Pelodiscus sinensis: one gene and its partner. Each later gene encodes a partner of the first gene's protein in a complex. Links are inferred from orthologs where the notes say so. Each region holds a gene or a part of one and is shown in the gene's direction. Other genes may lie near its edges.

Region 1 (10,793 bases):
AGAGGCATAGCGAGGAGGAAGTGGGGGGGGGCAGTTGCCCCCGGGCACCACACTAGGGGGGCGCTGGGCTGGGGTGGGAGCAGAGCACACAGCATCATGAGTTGTGGCAAACCTGGTCTGTATGGAAATGCTCCCTGTGGGATTGTGCTACTTCTGGTAGCAGTTTCCTATAGGAGCACTACCTTACAATTGTACAGATGATAAAATGCTACCAGTAGCACATTCCTATAAGGTAGCAACTTTCTACATTACATGAGCGTTGTTGGGCCATGTACTCCCTGTGCAATCAAGCCTCCGAGGCAGGGCCAAGCAGCGACTTTAAAGGTAGGGTTTAAAGGTTCAGGGCCCTGCCCCATCGTGGCAAGGGTGGGGGTGCAAATTTTGCTTTTGCATAACACCCTTGCTACTCATCTGATGTGAGGGGGGTGCCAGGCTGGGCTGTGGGCGGGGCAGGGAGGAGATATGTGGCGCTGGGCTGCAGGAGTAGGGAGGTGCCGGGAACCCGGGGCTAGACTCAAAGGGAGGGAGTGGCAGGAAATCAGAGCTGGGCTCAGCAGTTTTGTGGGGCTTTGAGGGGAGTTGCAGTGAAACAGGGCTCAACTGTGCTGTGAGGGAAGCATGCAGGGAACCAGTATGGGGATCAACTGGGCTGAGGTGGATGGGGGAAGGCATAGGGAACAGAAAAGCAGCTCAACTGGGCTGTGAGGGGCTGCAGGGAACTGGTGCTGCACTCCCTTGGATTGTGGGGAATGGTTTTGGGGGAGCTGCAGGGAACCAGTGGAGGTGGGCAGCTCAGTTTGGTTGCAGGGGAGGGAGGTGCAAAGAAGCCTAGTGGGGAGGGAGGGAATCAGGAGCCCTGAAATGACTTCCCCTGGTCCAAAAAATCCGTCATCTGGTTTGGGAAACCCTGGTTTAGCCAGCTTTCTATCCATCTTACAGTCCATTTATCCAACCCAAATTCCCTTAACTTGCTGGCAAGAATATTGTGGGTGACCGTATCAAAAGCTTTTTCTAAAGCTGGCACTGGGGGCGTTGGGAGGACCAGAAACAACTTATTTGCATATTGATCATTTGCTTAATGAATATGCAAATATGAAATTGAATGTTACCGGTCCCCCAAAAGCTCATGAACAGATTTACTGGTCCCTGTGTCAAAAAGTTTGGGAACACCTGCACTATAGGAACCAGATTGCTTCTTGATATTGCTTGTCACCTGTTTTATGGAATGTTGTTATTTCTATTGCAATAAAAATGCCATAGAATAGATGACTTGATGTAACCATAGAGGTAAATTGAACTAATATTTACTTTTCTTTTGGGTTTTTTTTGTGGCAGGAAAATGAAGAAGATAAATCTGCTACTTTAGATGAATATTTTCAAGACCAAGTGGATGAGTAAAGAGTGAATATACCAAAGCCTGGTTGTAAAATATGCTTTGTTAAGGGATCCTCTAAATATTTGTGTGTATTTTTTTAAAATATCAAAACTGTAAGATAATTTGAATAAATCACTAGAGAAAGTGAGTCATGCATTTCCATATTATTACTTTCAGAAATAATTGTCATTCTTGTATATAAAATACTTAGCCTCAGTCACAGTAAGCTATATTCCATGAAGATAATTGCATTTCTCTTTTAAATGCTAGATTGTTTGAAAAATATGGTGGTTGTAGAGGGGGACTGTCAAAATAAAAATATTTTTTTTCTTCCTTGTTCTAATAACTTATTAGTAGGAGAAAATGTTTAAAAATCTAGATAACTTATAATTTTCTCCTAGAGTTCATATTTTGTATTTTACTCAGATAACGAAAAGTGGCATAATCATTTTTACTTTGTGATTAATTGTGTGCTTATTTAGTGGTGGTAGCTTTTCCTTCCCACCACTGCAGACATTTAAATGCCTCCAATAATGTGTTTTGGGTTTTTTTTTGTAACCCTCCTGTAAATGTTGAGATTAATATATCAATCGCCAACTTCATACCTGTTTTAAATTGATGTAGCTCTCTTGGTATCAATGAAGTTAAACCTTGTTACACCAGGTATGAATTTGGTCCAATAGAATTTTGTTAATCTGATCATCAAATATTTAATTTAATTTAATTTTAAACAACATACATTATAGACCTATGCAATCTGGCAGTGTCTGTGTATCCTTCAAGAGATGTTTTGAAATCCTTAGCTAATGGCAAGTTGTCTGAAAGGGAAATCTGACTTTTAAGTGATGACTTAATACTTTGGATTTTCACAACTATTTCTGAGAGATGTGAAAAGCTGTTCTTTGAAGGTAATTGCTGCTATTGCTGTAATACTCTGTACAATAGTTGAATATGAGAGAATACTTTTTCAGATGTTTATATTGCATTATTTGACCATCACAATGTTTAATAAATTGTGTGTGAGAGAGCCAGCAATTCCCTTGTTTATCCTTTCAACCTTCTTAGGATTTCAAAGTTGGAAAATCTGGTTTGCTTCAGGAATTCTGTCCTCATTTTAGCATCCTCTTCGGACTAGAACTCTTCATGGTATGTTTTGAAGGGGCACTCTTAGATGTGATCAAAAGTGTCCTGATGTGAAGGTCACATGACTGCTCCAGAGTTATATACACCCTACACAGAATGGTAAGGATATCTAGGTGATAAAGTGCACCCTTCCCTTATCTGTACTCTGTCCACTAATCTATTTCACCAGGAACTATTTCTAGGATTCCAAAGAGCTGTCACTTCAAAATTAACAAAACAGAGTGTGAGGTTTAACTTTTCCTCCATCATTACACTGCTTTGCAAGAAGTACAACCCTTAATAGCAGAGAAGTCAGAGCTTGGAAATACTGGATTTTTAACCTATTACTGTTGGAACTAGGAAACTTTACAGTGGTAAATGTCATTTCTACCTGTGTGAGATTCATGATGAAATACTGGACCATGAAAATACAACAACATGATTTGAGGGTAATTTATTTTCCTTTTCTGTTACACACTGGACAACATGTGGCATATAAAGAATGACCAGAGATATGGTGTGGCATAAAGGTTTGACAGTTGTTTGAAATGACTTGTGAAACTGATTTGTGACTCTACAGTTTGTAAATATTGCAGCTAAACTCATGTTGATATATATTTCATGTCACTTCACTGTGTGGTTTAAATAAACATGCATTTCATCACTCAGAACAGTAGTGGTAAAATGCCTTACTCAAATATTTGACCCATTTGAATATAAATAAGGCAATAAATAAAATAAGACAAGCTAAAATACAATACAAGCTAAAATAAGACAAGCTAGTGAAAATTGACTGACATTTGTAAAAGGCATTTGATAAAGACTGAATGTAATACTAACACAGGGTGTTGCGCTATTGATAGTTTCACCCAAGGTTTTCATGTTTCCAAGAGAGCATTTTAAACACTCAGTTGAGGGAGGAAAAGTTGAATAAGTTTTGGTTTTCTTTAAAGTACATGTGCTCTCCCTCACATTTCTATATACTGACAATCAGTGACACATTACCAAAGAGCTCTCATTATATGTTGCTCCTTTTATTATTTTAATGTGCTAAGAATCAAATCAGTACTTTGAAGCAAAACTCTTGTGGACTTTGGTGGGAGTACTCATGGCATAAGAGTTGCAGGATTTCATTCAGTATAAGGATATGTGCTTTCAGGCAGCCTACTCCAGCTAAGATTCCATGAACAAGACAAAAATAAATAAAATCCTCTTGTGCTACTTGAAATAACTTTTCTGTGGATGAAAATTGTGAAACACAGTGATGCCTTCCTAAGAAAGAAAAACATTTCTGAATTAGATTAGAATTGCCAATAGTTATACAAGGTTGACTACACTATCTACTAATTTAACTAACTCCAGAGGAAATATTGTCCAAGCAAGTATTTGGCATCAAATAAGGCCACTATGTATCCTGTCTAATTTTTTTTGAGAGAGAGAATTCATATTTCATTGGTATTTGTATTAAACTTATATCATAAAAACTGTGGGTATTTTTGTATATATATAAAACCCTATATGCATCTAAAACCTTGAGTAACTTCATAAATAAGGGAGCAGTCCGTCTGATTTCTCATGAATAAAGATACGTGGTCGTATTTTTGGAGGATTTGGCCCCAAATGTCAATTACAAGTTACACATGCCAAGTCTATTTTTGGATCTAACTGATAAGCTTATGGAATATGTTAGCTTTTAATAGGAGAGTATTATTAAATTTTATTCTTTGTAGTGATGCATTTATTGACACTGTACATCATAATTATTCAAATAATGCTTAATAAATGGTCATTGGTACAGAAATAATTGTTTAATGATTTAATGTAGAATTGCATTTAGATCATGTCTTGTGACTGTCTTAATATCTACTTCTCGAGTTCTAAATGGTTCAAATTATGAGCTTTCTGTCTATTTCCTTAGGAGATAATTAGATCATCTAATTCAACATCATATTTATGTTCATAATATGGTTAAGCTTTTTCTGCTGATCACAGGTAAACACCTGACAAAGTTCTCATAAATTTTAATCTTAAAAATGATTGTTCACAGAAAACCCACAGAGACTTTTGATGAGGCATGAAGTAGATTTATTTTATTTTTTGAACAAATGCCTTACCTGTACAATGTTAAACTTGGAGCAACAAAACATTTTGGCCAAAGACTGTATTTTATATCTTTGAAAAGGCAAATTAAATTGTGTGTGTGGGGGGGGGGGGGGTCTTCTTGGAATGATAAAATAAAACAATACATTTTTCTGGTTGTTGAACTCCCCTCTGCTCTCAAGCAAGGAATCCATCTAAGTTGATATCAAATACAGGTAATGGTGGTGTGTATTTAAGGAATAAATTCTGTGTGTCTCAGGGAGAATGCATTCCTTTCAAATATTCTGAAGGGGTGATATTATTGCAGGGAGGGGGCGAAAGGCACTTGAAAGGAGGGGGGGAGGGAGATAGTAATTGGTAGCAGGATAAGAATCCCACAGAATGATCCAAATGGGAACAAATAAAGATAGGGAAACAAAAGGTTGCTAGAAAATTGAAATGTTTTCTATAAAAACTGGTCTTGAACAATACCCTGAAAATGTGCCGTTCCTGCATTGGTTTGAAGTGAGTACATCCTACAGAAAACACATTTATTCCTTTACTCAGTAAAGTAGGAAGTGCCATGGATGCATCTTTCCCCTGTAGGATTCTATTAGGAAAAAATGAAGCATTTGGGCAAGGCTATAGGCCTTGATCGAGCACTAAGATTCTCACAAGTGGGCTTTTGTGTCTGCAGTGGAGCCAGCTCTCAGGTTTTTATCATGGGTTTCATGATACTTGGTGTTTCTCTTAGAATCCCAGCTTCTGGAGTCAATTGATTATGCAAGAATCCCAACTTCCATTATTTTTAAATTTAAGTTTCTGTCCACCAGAACTGTGGAGAAAAGCTGAACCTTCTGGGCTCAAAACCCAGATTGACTAAAAAATCATGATAGTTGAAAAAAAATTTTTTTTTTGCCTATCTAATGATTTTGAGGGGAACTTCTTGTTTCTGTGTGGAGTGAATGCAGGCCTGGCGCCTACAGACCTTGCCTATACTTTGAATTCAGCAATCAGCACCCAGCAGCCAACTTAGATGCACAGTGCAAAGCACAGCGAGAGGCAGAGTGCTGTGCTTTGCACTGGTGCAGTTGCCAGCTTTGACTCTCTATGTTGTGGGCTCAGTTCATTTCCAGACTTGTAGGCCCCTGCTCTGGCAATAACAAATCCCTCTTGAGCAGCGCAAACAGAAATCAGGGATCTGCAGTAGGGTTGTAAAAGTGTAGTTGATTAACCCATTGACCTATAAGCAAAAGCTTATAGGTTAATGCTATAGACTAAACACATTCCATCCTCCTCCCTACTTGCCAGTAAGTATTTTAGCAGGCTGGTTGGCAGCCCAGCTCAGTTCTGGCTTGCACATGATCTGGGAGCTCAGACCACCCCCAGATGGGGGCTTCTGCCCACCCCATGCTACTGCCTCTTTATCAGAGGTGGCAGCGCACAGGTCAACAGCACAGGCCCTCAAGGGGAGCTGGGTTTTAAACTGGCTTCCCGCACAAACCGGCGCCCACCAGGCACCCCATGCTGCTGTGTCCGATACCCAGGCAGCATGCAGCGTGGCAGGGGCTATAGGATAGTCAAGTAACCCATAAGAATTCATGAGGTTACTGGGCTATTCAATGAACTGGTATTTAACATCCCTAATCTGCAGCCTTGTCATTTGTTACATCAGGGAGGACTTGGACCCACTGCATTTAGAAAGCAAGAACCGCGCCACATCCTCCCCCAGGAGCTGAGGCCGGGACCCTTGCGAGCGCTCTACCCGCAGAGGCTCCGCGGCCGCTGCCTTCCTAGCGCTCTGCCGCCCCCTGCTGGCCAGCTCCTGCCCTGCGCGCACAGGACTTCCTGCTTGCAGCCGCCTGGGGTGGGACAGGAAGGGCTGGCTCTCTGCAAGCTGCTGCATTGCTGACTCAGGCGGCTTCCTGCGCTCTCTGCCTCCTGGGAAACGACCGTCCCCACCGACAAAAAATGCCGGTAAGGAAAAGAGACCCTGCGGGTCTACAGGGCCCCGGCTCCTTGCGCGTGCTTGGGTTGCACCCCGCTGCCCTGCGAGCACTGTGGCTGCTGCTAGCCAGGGAAGGGCAGGAAATGCTACGGGGGATGGATGCTAGGCCCGGGGCTGAGCATTTGGGCCCCTTGGCTGCTGCTCGTTTTGCAATCCGCAGCCCATCAGGGGGGCTTCAAGGATCGGGTAGAAAACATCACAACGGCTCTGGGGTTTCTTTCTCTGTTCAGAAATAGGAAGAAGCTGAGCGAAACTAGCTGCTGCAGTGGGAAATGTCACCTCTACCAACAAAACGGGGGAACTTCCTTTTAAGGCAATAGTCAGCGCCTCTGCAAACCGCACGGCACTATTCATGATATTGTCCCCCACAAAGGATTTTGCTTCATATGCGCGGGTCGACGCGAAGTTAGCTGGTTGTTGATTTTACAATTAGACTAGATGGGCAGCTCTTTGTTGATTTAATTGGGGCTCTGGGCAGATGAAAGGGTGGGGCCTTTTCGTTGTAACTTCTCAGTTTATCTTGTGTGATTTTTTTTTTTTTTTTTTTACACAGCATTGGTAAGGTTGCAAAACACGGTTGTCCTTGCTTACTTAGCATCATAAAGAAATAGAGTGGAATTATATGATCACTGCCCCTTGCTCAAGGCCTGCTGAGCCCACCACCTAACTTAGGGAACAGCTGGGCCTTTCCAGTTTGACTAAACCCCTACAAAATTAAGAATATTCCCTTATTGGATAAACTAGGAGCATTATAGGTGAAAATTACTTTTATATGAAAATATTTAAAAAACCCAAAACAAAGAAACAGAAAAGTCCCATCAGCATTGGTGTTTTAAAGTAACTTATCTTATATTCTAAGTGCATGTATATTTTGAAATAAACCTCCTTTCTACAACATTGGCTCATATTGCAATTGTCAAGAAAAGATTTAAGCACCAAAGCAGAACGTGATTCTTAAGCTGTATCTACACTGACCTTTTTTTTTTAATTGCCATTGTTGAAGCACCGGAAAAGTAGATATGATAAAGGTTCTGAACATATTTGCCATCAAGTTATTTAGATCTGCTCTGAGTTAGACAACTGGTGATGGAAGCACACACTTCTACCTCTTCTATGTTATAGCATTCACCATTATTGCCTCCAGTTAGACTATGGCAGTTTCGTAGTAGGAGTCGTCCTCCCCCCACCTCCCCAAATGTTACTAAGGCCTAATTAGCTAGGTAAGCAAATACCACTGAACTTCCACAAGGTGTGGTTGCTGGATCATTGTTAACTGGACAAACCGTGCATCCATCATTTAGAGGGGGACATTTGTGTAATTTTATTCTTTCAAGGGAGAAAACTACTTATTTTCTTTTTATTGCTCACAGTCAGACTTCCTCTTTTGTTTATAGGCTTATCACTCCACTTTAATGGACTCCGATACCAAGTTAATTGGGAACATGGCTTTGTTACCCATTAGAAGTCAGTTCAAAGGACCAGCTCCAAGGGAAAGTAGGTTCACAACACTCTTTATAAGTACTATATCTGTATTTGCATTTATTTATTTTGCAGTCCATTTAAATCCAGTCCTAATTGCTTCTCTTTCATGAATATTTCATATCACTGATCTGGAAATGGTTATAGGACACTTTATATAAACTGTATCTACTTGAGGCTTTTGATTTTGTGTGTGTGTGTATGGTTTTCAAACTGAGGAGAAAAGGGACAGATTAGAAATGGGTACTTCCTGGTAATAGAGGAAGTTGACTTTCAGATGGCTATTAATGCTGTTGGATTGGGGGTTTCTTTTGCCTTCTGCTGTGCCATCTATCCGGAACATTTACCCTTCCCAATACAAGCCTCTGAATGCTTTTTCCTGAAGAAGAATCCTCTGATCTAATTTGTATAATGTGTCCTTCTCAACTGCTGTTTAAAATTTATGCCAGTGCCTTGAACCAACAGCTGACTCCAAACTCTACTCAGTCCTGTCTTGTGATAGTCACCCCCTTTCTATAGCTCTTGTACAAAATTATCTGTAGTGTTGTTGCTTCTGAATTGTTTTGTTTCTTTTCACTCTATCTTGGTTTCTCCTCCTTCTCCCTTTGGGAGTTGTTCTATCCACCTTAGAATAATAATCTGTATGTAACCCTTGCTTTTGTTAGTCATTTTATCATCTTGAGTCTTCGTATGTCACTTTTAATCCAAGACACTAGTCTTGTAATTGAATCCACATGGTTTCACATGGAGCCCCATTGATTTTAATTGGCTTTCCATGAAGTGCAAAGGTCTCCTTGTGCAGACCCAATGGTGGGATTGCAGCCTTAGCATGTAAACTCTGAATCATGTCTTGTTGGACACCATGGATCTAGTGGAATGGAGCCATTATTATTAATCCATGTTTATTACAGTAGTGACTAGGGACCAGTCAAAATTAGGGCTCCATAGTGCTAGACACAAATCCCAAATTCAGTCCCGAAGAGCTGGCAGTCTAAACAGACAGGACAGATGAAGGACAGTGGGAAGGGCTATAACATGCAAGCAGAATGAACAATGTGTGATCAGTCATTTGTCCTGATCTTGACTGGGGCTTCCGAGTGCTACCACAATAAATAATGTGCTATTTTTCCAGTGTGTCTTCAGTGATGAACACATTTGGTTTGTTTTCTCTTTGATGCCTCCAGAAGACCTTGTTCTAGTTTAAATTCCGTAATCTTTTGATTTGTGTGTGTGTGTGTTTTTTGTTTTTAATTCAGCCTAAATTCACTATTGTCAGGTTCAAAAGGGTAACTGTGATAAATCTGTATCTGCAAAAACAACGAGAATTCCTGTGACATGTTAAAGACTAACTGTTTTATTTGGGCATTAAGCTTTCATGGGTAAAACCCGCTTCATCAGAAGCATTGGAGTCAACCCATAAAAGCTTATGCCCAAATAAATCTGTTAGTCTTTAAGGTGCCTTGTTGTATAGTCAGGCTAGTTCCTGGGGCATCATGCAACTATTAAGATTCACTGTGGTCTTTGAATTGCGGGTTTCAATAGGTTTTAAAATAGTGGTAAGATTCAATATAACCCTTTATAGTAGTTAGATACTACTTCAGTACTTATTCTCCTGATAAGTCTTTCACAATGCCTCATGACTACTCTGCAGGATTACATCTCTATTCAATGGCTCCACTCCATAATGGAGTGAACAATTATTATATTAAAAATCAAAGCTGCTTGATAGTAAAATTTACTTTGGCAAGCATAAAGCTTGAATTAATTGATACCTCATCTTACAGTAAGTGTCTTGTAGTACGTGCTGCCATGTGTAAGTAACGAAGCTGTGGTCATATGGGATACTGCTATAACACTTATTTTCCTATTAAATCTTTGCTGGGAATTAGTACAAAACCTCTGTGGCTTTGTTTTTGGGAAGAGTTATTGTTTTTGCAAGTGAGTGAAATGGAAGATCATGCTACTATTTACTGTCAGTCTTAGCAAACGTCACTCCTCTGTTTCCATTTAAATTCTAGTGATGTTATCTTTAAGTTCTGCCTAATTTTCCCATTTTCTACCTTTCTTGCTAGCAAAGGACACCGATATTATAGATGAAGCCATCTACTACTTCAAAGCAAATGTCTTCTTCAAGAATTATGAAATTAAGGTAAGAAATGAAGATTTAAGATATTAAAACCTGTGCACAGTTATTAGAATCTTGTACCCTGTTGAATTGTAGAATTACTTCACTGCAATAAGCTTCAAGCTTCCAAGAATTTTTATTTCTCTCTCTCTCTCTCTCTCTCTCTCTCTCTCTCTCTCTCTCTCTCTATATATATATATATATATATATATATATATATATATATATATTTAGAGAGAGAGCGAGCGCAAGGGAGAGTGGGGTATATAATGAAAGAAACAATTTTTTTCTAGTTAAAACTTTTCAAGTAAGGTAAATGTGTCTTCTATGCTGTCAACGCATCTCTTTTGTGAGAGACCATAGACTAAAAAGGTGATAGCTTTGTCAGCAGGTGTAAAATCTAACAATAGCAAATGGCTTCTGCTTCCTTTTATTTGACAGAATGAGGCTGACAGAACATTGATCTACATAACTCTCTATATTTCTGAATGCTTAAAGAAGCTGCAAAAGGTAATAAAATTTAATTTAATTTAAGTTGAAGGAAGAAAGTACAATAAATGGCAATAAAAATGTCAGTTCTGCTCGTTTGTCTAAGACAGTGTGAA
Region 2 (10,922 bases), on another chromosome or scaffold:
TCTTATCTGTGATGCCAAATGATGCTGGTCTGTCTTATGACACCAGTTCTTACAAGGGAGTTGTGAACTTAATTTACACTTGTAAGAGAGATAACTAAATTGGAAGTACTGGAGATTCTTTTCTCAGTGGGAGATTCCTCTCCCAGGGACAACTGTGTGTGATCATATCAACATGGGTGCCAGCCGGGGCAGTTCTCGCAGTCTCGAGGTCAGCTTATTGCCTTAATCGCTCTTTTCTCATATCTATGTTTTCAGCTTCTCAGGAACAGATAAGCCAGCATAGACTATGCTGATTTTATTGCTCCTTCTCTGCCCTGTATGCTTCAGGAACCTCAGAGAGACAAATAAGATGGATGTGGGGGGGGGGGAAGTTTGTCTGGCTACACTATAGCAGGGTTGCCACGCCTCAGCAAAGTTATACAACAAAACTACAAGTTGGTAGATAGGCGACAAGAACAAGATTTTTCCTACATTGAACAAATTATCTAACCTCTCCCCACCAAAGTTTACAAATTGATTAGACTAAAATTGGACTCAATAATTGGTCCCAGAAAAGACTATGAAGTGGACTACATACAAATTGACGACTATCCTGGTCTGGCGATGTACTGATGGTAATTATACATTTTAAACTATTCGATTTTGCATAGATGTAATCAGGTTGTATATGGAAAACCTAGTGATTCAATTTCTGAACAGTATGCAATGCTTTTATTACATACTTTGCACTTTTATGGGACGGGGGTAGTAGCAGGTAGAGACATTTTCTGTTATGTTTTGGGTTTTTTTTTAAACAAAGAAGGCAGGCCCACAAAATCAAGGACAATCTTGGATCTTATGCTTCCAACTTTACCTCTCTTAATTTGAGACTGCCATCCACAAAGCTTTCTAGTCTCTACTTGAGCAGCAGTATATTCAGAGGAGAATATGCATTATATTAGCAGTGTACATGTAAAGGAAATGGGAGGGATAAATTATGAGTTTCTTTTTTCTTCTTTCAGGATTGTTAATTACAGAAATATGAACCCAGAAAGGCAAACTTTTTTCCAGGAATATCTGACAAATCAAGGAACAGCAGTAAAGTCCTACTACTGGCAGACACAGAGCTGTGCTAAATGCCCCTATCATATACGGACAGGTGAAGAAGAAAGAGTCCCTTATGTGGAATTTCATATGGCCTTTGGATTCCCATATGGGCTACTGAGTCCTCAAAACAAACATCTTATATTCTATGAACTGAGGAGCTTCTCTGGGACATAGGGTTACCAGGTGTCCAGTATTCACCTGAACAGTCCAGTATTTTCTGATTTTTTCCCTGGCCAGGATGCAAAAATGCTGGGCACCTGGCAACCCTACAAACACTCAGCACCTGGCCTTCCCCCCCCCCCCGACACCCCCTCTCCCCGGCTCCCAACACACCCAGCCCCCCCCCCCCCCCCCGACCCCAGTCCCCATGCTTACCTGGTTCCACAAGGCTGCCTGCACAAAATGACTGCCGACCAAGGGGAAGCAATGCTTCCACTGGGTCTTAGTGCTCAACTCCTCCCCTGTTCCTATCCCTGCACTCACTCTTAAAGGGGACATGCTGTTTTAATGCCGTTTTATTTTATTTTATTTTTTGCTCAACTACTTTGGTCTCTCCCCCTCCCTTTTTCCCCCCCTTCAACAGAATTTTTTCCTGGTGGTTTTTTTTTTTGGGGGGGGGGGGGGGAGAAGAGTGTTCAGAATTTTTGTTTCAACCATCTGGCAACCCTACTGGGACACTAGTCCAAAAGGGCCATGCAACCAACTGCCTTAAGTGTAACATCCATCCAGAGTCTATGTTGTTTGAGATGTGTGGTTATCTGCATGTAGTTACATACGATTATGACGGCATTGGGTATATAATTCTTTATTCAAACTATTCTCCTTGTAATGAGGCTGAGCACTGCTGCATAAGCAAGATCTACAACTTCTTGACAAAGTACCGAGACATTATCTTCTGTATTTATTTCTCTCAGCTTTATTACACTGAGGATGATTTCCCTGTGTCCATATGGAACTGTGAAGCTTTACGAAGCCTTGCCAGCTTATGGCCTTATGTGACTCTGAACCCATTATGTGGTAGGATCTGACATTCCCTCCTTTGCAATTTTGTGAGTGGTATGCCAGAAGCAACCCTTTACTATCCAGTTTTACCTGCAAGAGCGTTAGCTGATCATCAAAATTCACATACAATTAACAACATAACAGGAATGAAATCTTATTTCATGAAAGCATCTCCCCAGGCAACATATATGAAAATCAAAAAGATCGGTAGAATTTGCAGCAAATATTATTTTGCTCACCCACCTTCAGCAATGATGGATGGCAGATTGCCACCACTTATGACTGACTCACAGCCATTTGGTACCTTTTGCAAGCAAGTTTCTGCCCTTTGGAGGGCAATATTCAGATCTCAAACCTAACAATATTGTAAGGCATTTAAAAATGTCTAAGGGGTTATCTAATGATACCAGTCATTCACAAACCTTTTCCCATGGAAGACCGATTCAGATGGTAGAAATCACTGAACGACTTTTAAGTAGTAAGACTACAGATATCAAAGGGGGGAAAAGAAGTAAAGGCATCTCTTACGAAAGTTAATATACAAGCAGGGGGTCTAGATGGGTCAGAAAACTGATGTTGTGGATCTGGAAACTTTTACCTTTTGAATACTCATTTAAATCCAAACTAGGCCAGTAATGATGAAAATTCAGGACCCACTAATGACTTTTAGTGATGTACAAAAAATGGAATTGACGGGTCTCAATCCGATTTTCACCAGAGAGATATCCACATTATACAAGACACCAGCATAATTAATATCTTTATTAGAAGCATCAGCATATGGCAAAGATGAAATGGACAATATGGCCCAAACTCTACCTGGATCTGCAGAAATGATTCCTTCAGCTAAGAGTGGGCATAACCTGGGAAATACTATGCTCTCAGTACCGATCCTGTGAATAAAAAAGCCTTCACCCTCCAAGGCTGCTACCTCTCACCTCCCAGAAGTTCACATAGTATGATTTTTAAGTTATATTTAAAAATATAACAGAATTATATGAAACTTTTATATAAAGTTTGAAAAGGTAGTGCTGAAATTATATACAGTATGAAGCTTAAATTATTACAATACTGAAAGCACTATACAATTATTTGTTATTAATATTTAATGTTATAAAATACTGCAACTAAAGAAAAGTTGGTAACTCCACTTAGCTTCTCACTTTTCCATGCAACATAGCAACACAAATTCTGTATCCAAGAAATGCACACTATCCCCTCTGATGCTTGATACTGCAAGTTGCTGAGTACAGTAGACTTCCGATAATCCGGCACCCTTGGGACCCAGGTGGTGCCGGATTATCAGAAATGCCGGACTATCAGGAGGTACTCTGGCAGGGGCGGGTCTCGTCAGAGGGGAAGCGGGGGAGGGGGCGGGGGTGTGCCAAACCCTCCCTCCTGCTGCAGGGAGGCAGAGCCTGCGAGTGGTGGGAGAGGAGAGGCGGTGACAGGCAGGCAGCCGCATTCAGGACGTTCTGGTCAGTTACAGTCACTCCGGCTGGATCCACAGCCGACACGCAGTTAATGTAACTTTCCTCTCTACTGCCGGGAGGAGGGGGGGGCAGGGGAAGGTAGGGGTCGGTGGGAGAGGGACCCCTGCCCCCCCCCCATCCTCCCCCCTCCCAGCAGTAGAGAGGAAAGTTACATTAACAGCGTGTTGGCTGTGGATCCAGCCGGAGTGACTGTAACTGACCAGAACGTCCTGAATGCGGCTGCTTTGGCACACCCTCGCCCCCTCCTCCTCCCCCACCGACCCCTACCCCCCCCCCTCCTCCCGGCAGTAGAGAGGAAAGTTACATTAACTGCGTGTCGGCTGTGGATCCTGCCGCAGTTAATCAATTACTCTAACAACTTGAAGCAACTGCCAGAGCACTTCCGGGTTGCAGTTGGTGCCGGACCATCAGGCATACCGGACCACTGGATGCCGGACCACCGGAGTTTTACTGTACTTTCACTTCAGTTGTACAATATACTTGAATGAAGTCAAGCATGTTCCGTAGTCTGGGAAGGGTTAGGGTCTCAGTATCAGAACTCCCTAAGGATGGTAAGATGCGGTTAATGGCTAATCAAGTAGTGGACAGAATTTTTATCAACTACTTGATTAGCTAATAAAGAAAGGCAGCTCGGCCCAGTTCCAGCTTGCACCAGATCTGGGACCTACCCCCTCTGTGGCTCTGCAGTTTAAATGTACTAAGAGCCAGGTGGGCAGGCAGCCCAGCTCAGTCCCGGTTTAAGCCAGGTCTGGAACCTACCCCCACTGCAGCTCTGCATTTTAGATGCAGGAAGAGCCGGGCTGCTTATCCGCTTGGCTCTTAGTACATTGAGGCTATGTCTAAACTGCATCCCTTTTTCGATAAAAAGGATGTAGTTTAGACATACCCTAAAATGGCAAAGCTGCAGCAGGAGTAGGTCCCAGACTTAGTGGGAGATGAGAATGAGCTTGGTTGCCTGCACGGCCAGAACAAAATAACCGGTAAACCTCGCTGTATGAGGAATAAGGGTTATTTCAGAAGAAGGGTTTTCTCCCGAAATAATCACGTCTACACAGCGTTTGTTATTTCAAAATAGGGTAATTCAAAATAGCGGCAGACTGCGATAATGCAAATGAAGCATGGGAAATTCAAATCCACGCTTCATTTGCAATTTCGCTCAGCTGCATTTGCATCCCTCTCTCAAAAGAGGGTGAAAGTGTAGACAGACCCTCAAAAAGGCAGCAAGGGGGAAGAAGCAAGTAGTCAACTAAATTAACCAATAAGCCTAGGCTTATCTGTTACTCAACTAGTCAACTACTTGCTTACATCCGTAGAACTCCTTGCTTCTATATCTTAACAACGTTAAGTGCTCCGGGGCCTACTTCAACTCCCACTGACATCACTTAATTGTATTTTTAAAACATGACAAAATACAGTTAAGGGAACATGTGATAAAATATTTTGAAAGATTTTTTTATATATTGGCATTGGAAAAAGTTCAGAAAAGGTAAGCCCCTTATCATTTTGGTTGCCAATGGCTGCCATATGAGGAGAGATTAAAAAGACTGGAAAAGGAAGACTAAGCTTAGAAAAGAGAAGACTAAATTGGGATATGATAAAGTTTTATAAAATCATGACCAGTGTGGAGAAAGTAGATAAGGAAAAATTATGCACTTGCTCCCATAATGCAAGAAAGGTCACTGAATTAAACTGACAGATTTAAAACAAACAAAAGGAAGTGTTTCTTCACATAATGCAGTCAACCTGTGGTACTCCTTGCTAGATGTTGTGAAGACCAGGAGTTTAACAGGGTTTAAAAAAGAACTAGATAAATTCATGGGGGATAAGTCTAGTTTTGGCTATTAGCCAGGGTGGACAGAAATAGTGCACTGAGCCTGTTTATCAGAAGCTGGGAATGAGTGACAGGGGAGAAATCACTTGATGATTACGTGTTCTGTTCATGCCCTCTGGGACACTTGGCATTGGCCACAGTCAGAAGACAGAATACTGAGACAGATGGACCTTGGGTCTGACTCAGTCTCACCGTTCTTATGTTATTAATATCGAGGGTTTTTTTTAAAATGTACTTTTCACTATTTCTATATTACTTCACTCTCTGTACTTCCTCAGCTTGCACTGTAAAAGTCCATTTCACTTTCTCCTTGTATAGCATTAACCTAATGCTTTTGCGTTTGGATTCCCAGTACCACGGGACAACGTTTAATCTGCTAAAACAATGTATGTTTTGAGTATTATGCAAGTATCATGATTCGTATTAGATTCTGCAAAATACTTTTTGTAAACTCAGATTTTTTACTCACATTTACTAATGTCTATTTTACATACAATACTAATATAATTTATACTTCAATTCAATCTGATCTTCATAGGCCTCAAAGATCATTTAAAGATGTTTATAGCAATATAAAGACGGGGATTACTATTTGCAGAAAAAAGCAGGAACCGGGAGTCCAGATGCTTGGGTTTTAGTCTCAGTTCTACCACTGATTCACCACGACCCACTCACTACCACCCACATTTCCAAAGGGGCCCCTTCTTGTGGGCACCTAATTTATTTATGAGCCTGGTCTGGGGCACGGTGGGTGAGCTTGCCAGCGAGGCTGAGCGTGCCCGCACCGAAAGGAGACGAGTGACACTGAAACCTGCCCACCTGGAGAAACCGCGGCAACCAGAGACATGGGGCAGCGCTCAACGGTTGAGCCTCTGTGCCTCAGTTTCCCCATCTAGAAAACGGGTCTGCGAGCGCGAGGCCTGCTCCCGGGGGCTAGGCGGGGAGTCCGCAGGGGAAGCGCTCGGGCCGGGAGCCCCACTGACCGGCGCTGGGAGACAGACCTGGGGGGCGGCGCGCTCGCCCCTGAGCACGGAGGGGGGCAGGGGGCTCCCGGCGCGTCCCCGCGCCTCACACCCACGTGTGGGGCAGCGACTCAGCCGAGCGCGGCGGGGCCGGTAGCGGCGCTTCACACCCCGCCCGCCACGACCCACCCTACTGCGAGCGCCCGTTAGCGACGGGAGGCCGCTCCCATGGAAACGGGCCCCCTTCGGCCCAGGAGAGCACGTGACCACCCCCTGCCGACCAATCGCAACAACTCACCTGCTCCTCCCCGACCCTGCCTTCCTCCGCCCACTTGCCTGTTCTGCGTCTGCGCTCAAGGGCCCGCCGGCTGCCGCAGAGGAAAAAGGAAGTCCGTGCAGATCGCATGCGCAGAGAAGAAGGGGTGCGGTTTTAAAGTGCGCGTGCGTTTAAAAAAAAAAAAAAAAAAAAGAGAGAGGCGGCATTGCGAGGCGCATGCGCTCACCCACGAGTGTCAAGCGCGAGCGGCTAAACCGTAGGAAGAGAAAGTCGCTCGAGCGACTTTTTCCTAGTGCGCATGATCGGAAGTGAGAGGCGGAAGGAGCGCTGTGCGCTGCGCATGCGCGCTGCTGCTTGCTGCGGGCAGCAGGGGGCGGGCACCGCCCTGCGGAGGGGAGCGGGCGGGAGGCGCCGGCAGGTTCCGGGGCGATGGCGAAGAACACGGTGTCGTCTGCGCGCTTCCGCCGGGTGGACGTGGACGAGTACGACGAGAACAAGTTCGTGGACGAGGAGGAGGGAGGCGACGGCCAGGCCGGGCCCGACGAGGGCGAGGTGGACTCCTGCCTGCGGCAATATCCTTCCGCGGGCGCCGGGGAAAGAGTCCCGGCCTGGACGGGGGAGGGGCGCCCAGCCCTGTCGCGAGCCCGGGGGACCCGAGGGCACAGGCGGGACGCTGCGCCCCCGGCCCTGAGCCTGCCGGGGCTCTGCGGCGTGGACAGGGGCGGCCTCCTCCGTGCCCCCGCCGCGTCCCGCAGCCCTGCCTCTTAGCTGCGCCCCCGGGAGCAGGCTGCGAGCGGGGCCGGCCCGCCCGGCCCCAGAGAGTGACGTGCAGGGCTGGGGGGCGCTGACAGCCCAGGGGTGCTCGGTCCTCACCCCCAGGCCCGTCTAGGCAACTTGTTACAAACAGCCTTCAATTCCCCGGCCTGCCTGTGTCTAGGCCCTGGGGTGAGCGCCCTGCTGCCCAGAGAGACCGTTAGACCTGTATGTAAGTTCATATCCGCCAGCTCTTTGGTTCCCAGTTTTCATGGGCATGCATGCGCTGGAGGATGTGGTCCTGTCTGACCTCACGAGAGCAGGAGGGAGGGCCAGCGAAAGAGCCCTGCCCCCAAACCCCTCTTGCACTGCAGAGTTGGAGGAAGTGTGTTCTCTGTGAAGTTTTCCTTTTATGGGAATAATTGCACCTAGTCTGTGATAATCTAGTTGCTTTTTACTTCCACATATTAGTGCCTTTAGCTTCAGATGTGCCCTTTCTGGGTGAGGCTGCGCTTGATAAGGTTAGCTTGTAAGTGGGTTTTATGGTTTCAAATTTGAGGTGAGGGGAAAAACCTGGAGGGGAAAAAAAACAAAAGGGAAATGTTTGCTCAAAACCATAAGACCCTTTAAGAAAATTCAAATGGGAGCTGCTTAGTATCCTTTTCTGTACAATCTGCCGGAAGCCTGAATTAGCTGTGTTTCTAGAGCATGTTTTGTTCTAGTTCATGACAATAATGGAGGCAGTCTTGGGATCTCATTGTTCTATAACAGGGCTACTCAAGGCACACGCCCCGTAGGCTGCATGCAGCCCGTTTGTTTGCGCTCAGCGTTGCGGGTCCTTTGAACAGGGCTTCCGTTAGGAACATGCTCCACAACAGCAACTCCATATAATGGTCTTCTGTTGATATGTGTTAGTAGTTAAATTCCTGGACTCTCATTGTTCATTAAAAGTGCTGTCGTATGGGTGAAAATCTGCTGATATTAATAAAATGCAATATTCACCTGAACTGACTTAAATGGGACCTGCGTGTTATGTAGTCTTGCCTTAATCTTTGTATTCATGCCCGTCAGTGTGAAAGAAGCTATTTGCATATAAATTTGCATGTATACGCAATCACGCTTAAGTTGCAGCCCTTAGCATGTGCTGTAAGTATCATTGTGGCCCCTGGGGCTTCCAAAGTTGAGTACTCCCCTCTGATACCCAGGGCTCGACAAATAATACAATCTACTCGCCCATGGTGAGTAGACTGTAACCTGGAAGGCCCATGTGCAGATCACCAGACAGCGCAGCTGGCAAGCAGGGCTCGCCGCAGTTCGGCGAGCCCTGGTGATACCCATTAGTTGTGTCACTTAATGCACTACTGGGAGGTTTCTAGATGATGCAGTATAAGAATCTTAATAGAAAACTCTTCTGAATCATAACCAACTACAGTGTGATGAATTGACTGATAGATTGAACATCAACAGGAAAGGAAAGGTCAATCTGAGGCCCTAACTGATGATATTTTTCCGATGTATGTACAAAGTATGTTCTCATTCACCAGCTTGTTTCAGCAATCACATCTTCTTTTCGTGTGTGTGTGTGTGTCAAACAGCCATGTTATAACTTGTTGCATGATATTTTGCCAATCTGTGTGGAGTTTGAAGATAAAAGGGGTCAACTTAGAATTATTTATATTTGGATCTTTGTTGTGTGATTTGGTGCACTCTGATGCTGACAACTGTACCACCTTAGTATTGATCCCATTGCTTTAAATGACTGGGTAATACTTGCTACTTTGAACACTTCAGTAGGTGCAACAGTATGGAAAATATTCTCTCCACAAATCCATGCTTGATATTCCCAGTAAGAAACAGGTTACTTGTGAATCCCACTCTATTGTGACTATCTCTGCTGCTTTCTATGTCCTTGTTTCCCCATCTTTCCTTAACTCATGTTTACAGGAAACATGATGGCTGCATTGCAGGCAGCCCTAAAGAATCCTCCAATCAATACCAAGAACCAAGCAGTAAAGGTGAAGTAGTTAATAACTCACATTCATGTGCCATGCTGTAAATTCTTTCCTAATTCCCTAAGACTTCTACAGATTGCTCACTGTTCCTCTCTGAGGTGATTAAGCTCTTCCTGTATACTCAGCCCAAGTACAGGGCATCCCTCATACACATCCATTCTGCACTAGTCATTTAAGCTTGTAGGAACAGAGGCATGATTAGTCCTCTCATTTCCCCGCTCTTCAGTTGTGCAAAAAAAAAAATGCACAAATGAAAGTCAGCTGGAGGGGGAGGGGGAATTCCCTGCTTCAAGTTGTTTTGCTATAAATCCAAGGTTTTTTTGTAACGTATCTTGGACTTAAAGCGATACATGGCCCGTGAACTTACCAAAAAAATCACCTCAGACTAGTAAGCACTGACTGGCTGTGTCCAGTCCATAGTTCTAGCTAACAAGGAATTTTTAAGCTGGCTTCCCATGCGTACCAGCTCCCAGGGAGCCAACTTCCCCTCCATGCTTCCCCTCACCCCAGGCCTGGTGCTGCTTCCTCTCTGGCAGGGAGGAGGGAAGAGGGGTCCAGATGGCAGCCACCTCCCCCTGCATGTAACTGCTGAAGTGTTCAGAGGTTATACATTTACCTAAATAAACACATTTTAACTTCCTTAGTTATAATACAGTACTCAGTGAGGGAAGAGAAAGATAATGCAGAGTAAAAATAGATCTCAGCTGAACAGAACTCCGTGCTCAGTAGAAATACTTCTCCTTTAAGATCTCTTTTGGCCCACAGAAGTGCTGTCCATCTAGACAATGTAAAAATAAGAGGTTGCTTAGTTGGTGAGAGGGAAGCCAATCAGACCTGTAATTTCCGACGACTTTTGAACTGTCCAGTCAAGAGAGAAAGTTCAGTACCACCCTTATGCTATGGGTGGAGTCCTGCAAACAAAAGCTAGTCTTAATAAGCAAAGATAGAAACCTAGAACAAACTTGTTACAAATGCAGTGACGAGAATGAGTCTCTTGTTTGAGACTAGCTTCTTTCACCTCAGTGGCGATGTGCTGCCCTTTAATTTATCTAAAACTTGATTTCAAATTAATTGCATATGTTAACTGTAAATTGAAATTTATTTAGAATTAAATGGCTATAGCAAAGTCCATGGAGGTCATACTGTCGTAGGGCAGAGGTGAATGTCTGTTGAACAGTATGCTTGACAACTTGGTATGTGTTCGAGCTGCCTTGGCTTTTTGAATTAAGAATAAAGCTTTACCTCCTGGGAGATCATTAACATTTGGCTGTCTGTCATGTTATTCCAAGTTATGACTTTTCCCCTTGTTTACAGGATCGTGCAGAAAGCATCGTCCTAAAAGTCCTCATCTCATTCAAAGCCAATGATATTGAAAAGGCAGTACAGTCTCTGGACAAGAATGGAGTTGATCTGCTAATGAAATACATCTACAAGGGGTTTGAGAGCCCCTCTGACAACAGCAGTGCTGTGTTATTGCAGTGGCATGAAAAGGTGTGTGAAGTCTGT

Evidence for each region. Proteins that work in one complex are often made in the same cells at the same time.
Region 2: ARPC3 (region 1) and ARPC5 share a complex: the UniProt entries of both Homo sapiens proteins name them as parts of the arp2/3 complex. The link is inferred for Pelodiscus sinensis from reciprocal best matches to the Homo sapiens genes ARPC3 and ARPC5.

Annotation. Positions count from the first base shown.
Region 1 is NC_134725.1:32,219,575-32,230,367, forward strand, and holds the start of ARPC3 (actin-related protein 2/3 complex subunit 3), read left to right. Parts: upstream 1-6,417; 5' UTR 6,418-6,547; coding exon 6,548-6,553; intron 6,554-7,978; coding exon 7,979-8,078; intron 8,079-10,135; coding exon 10,136-10,212; intron 10,213-10,629; coding exon 10,630-10,698; intron 10,699-10,793. Other genes in the region: GPN3 (GPN-loop GTPase 3), read left to right, coding at 1,336-1,398. UniProt on the Homo sapiens protein: Component of the Arp2/3 complex, a multiprotein complex that mediates actin polymerization upon stimulation by nucleation-promoting factor (NPF).
Region 2 is NC_134719.1:57,208,532-57,219,453, forward strand, and holds the start of ARPC5 (actin-related protein 2/3 complex subunit 5), read left to right. Parts: upstream 1-6,983; 5' UTR 6,984-7,080; coding exon 7,081-7,223; intron 7,224-9,346; coding exon 9,347-9,419; intron 9,420-10,730; coding exon 10,731-10,907; intron 10,908-10,922. UniProt on the Homo sapiens protein: Component of the Arp2/3 complex, a multiprotein complex that mediates actin polymerization upon stimulation by nucleation-promoting factor (NPF).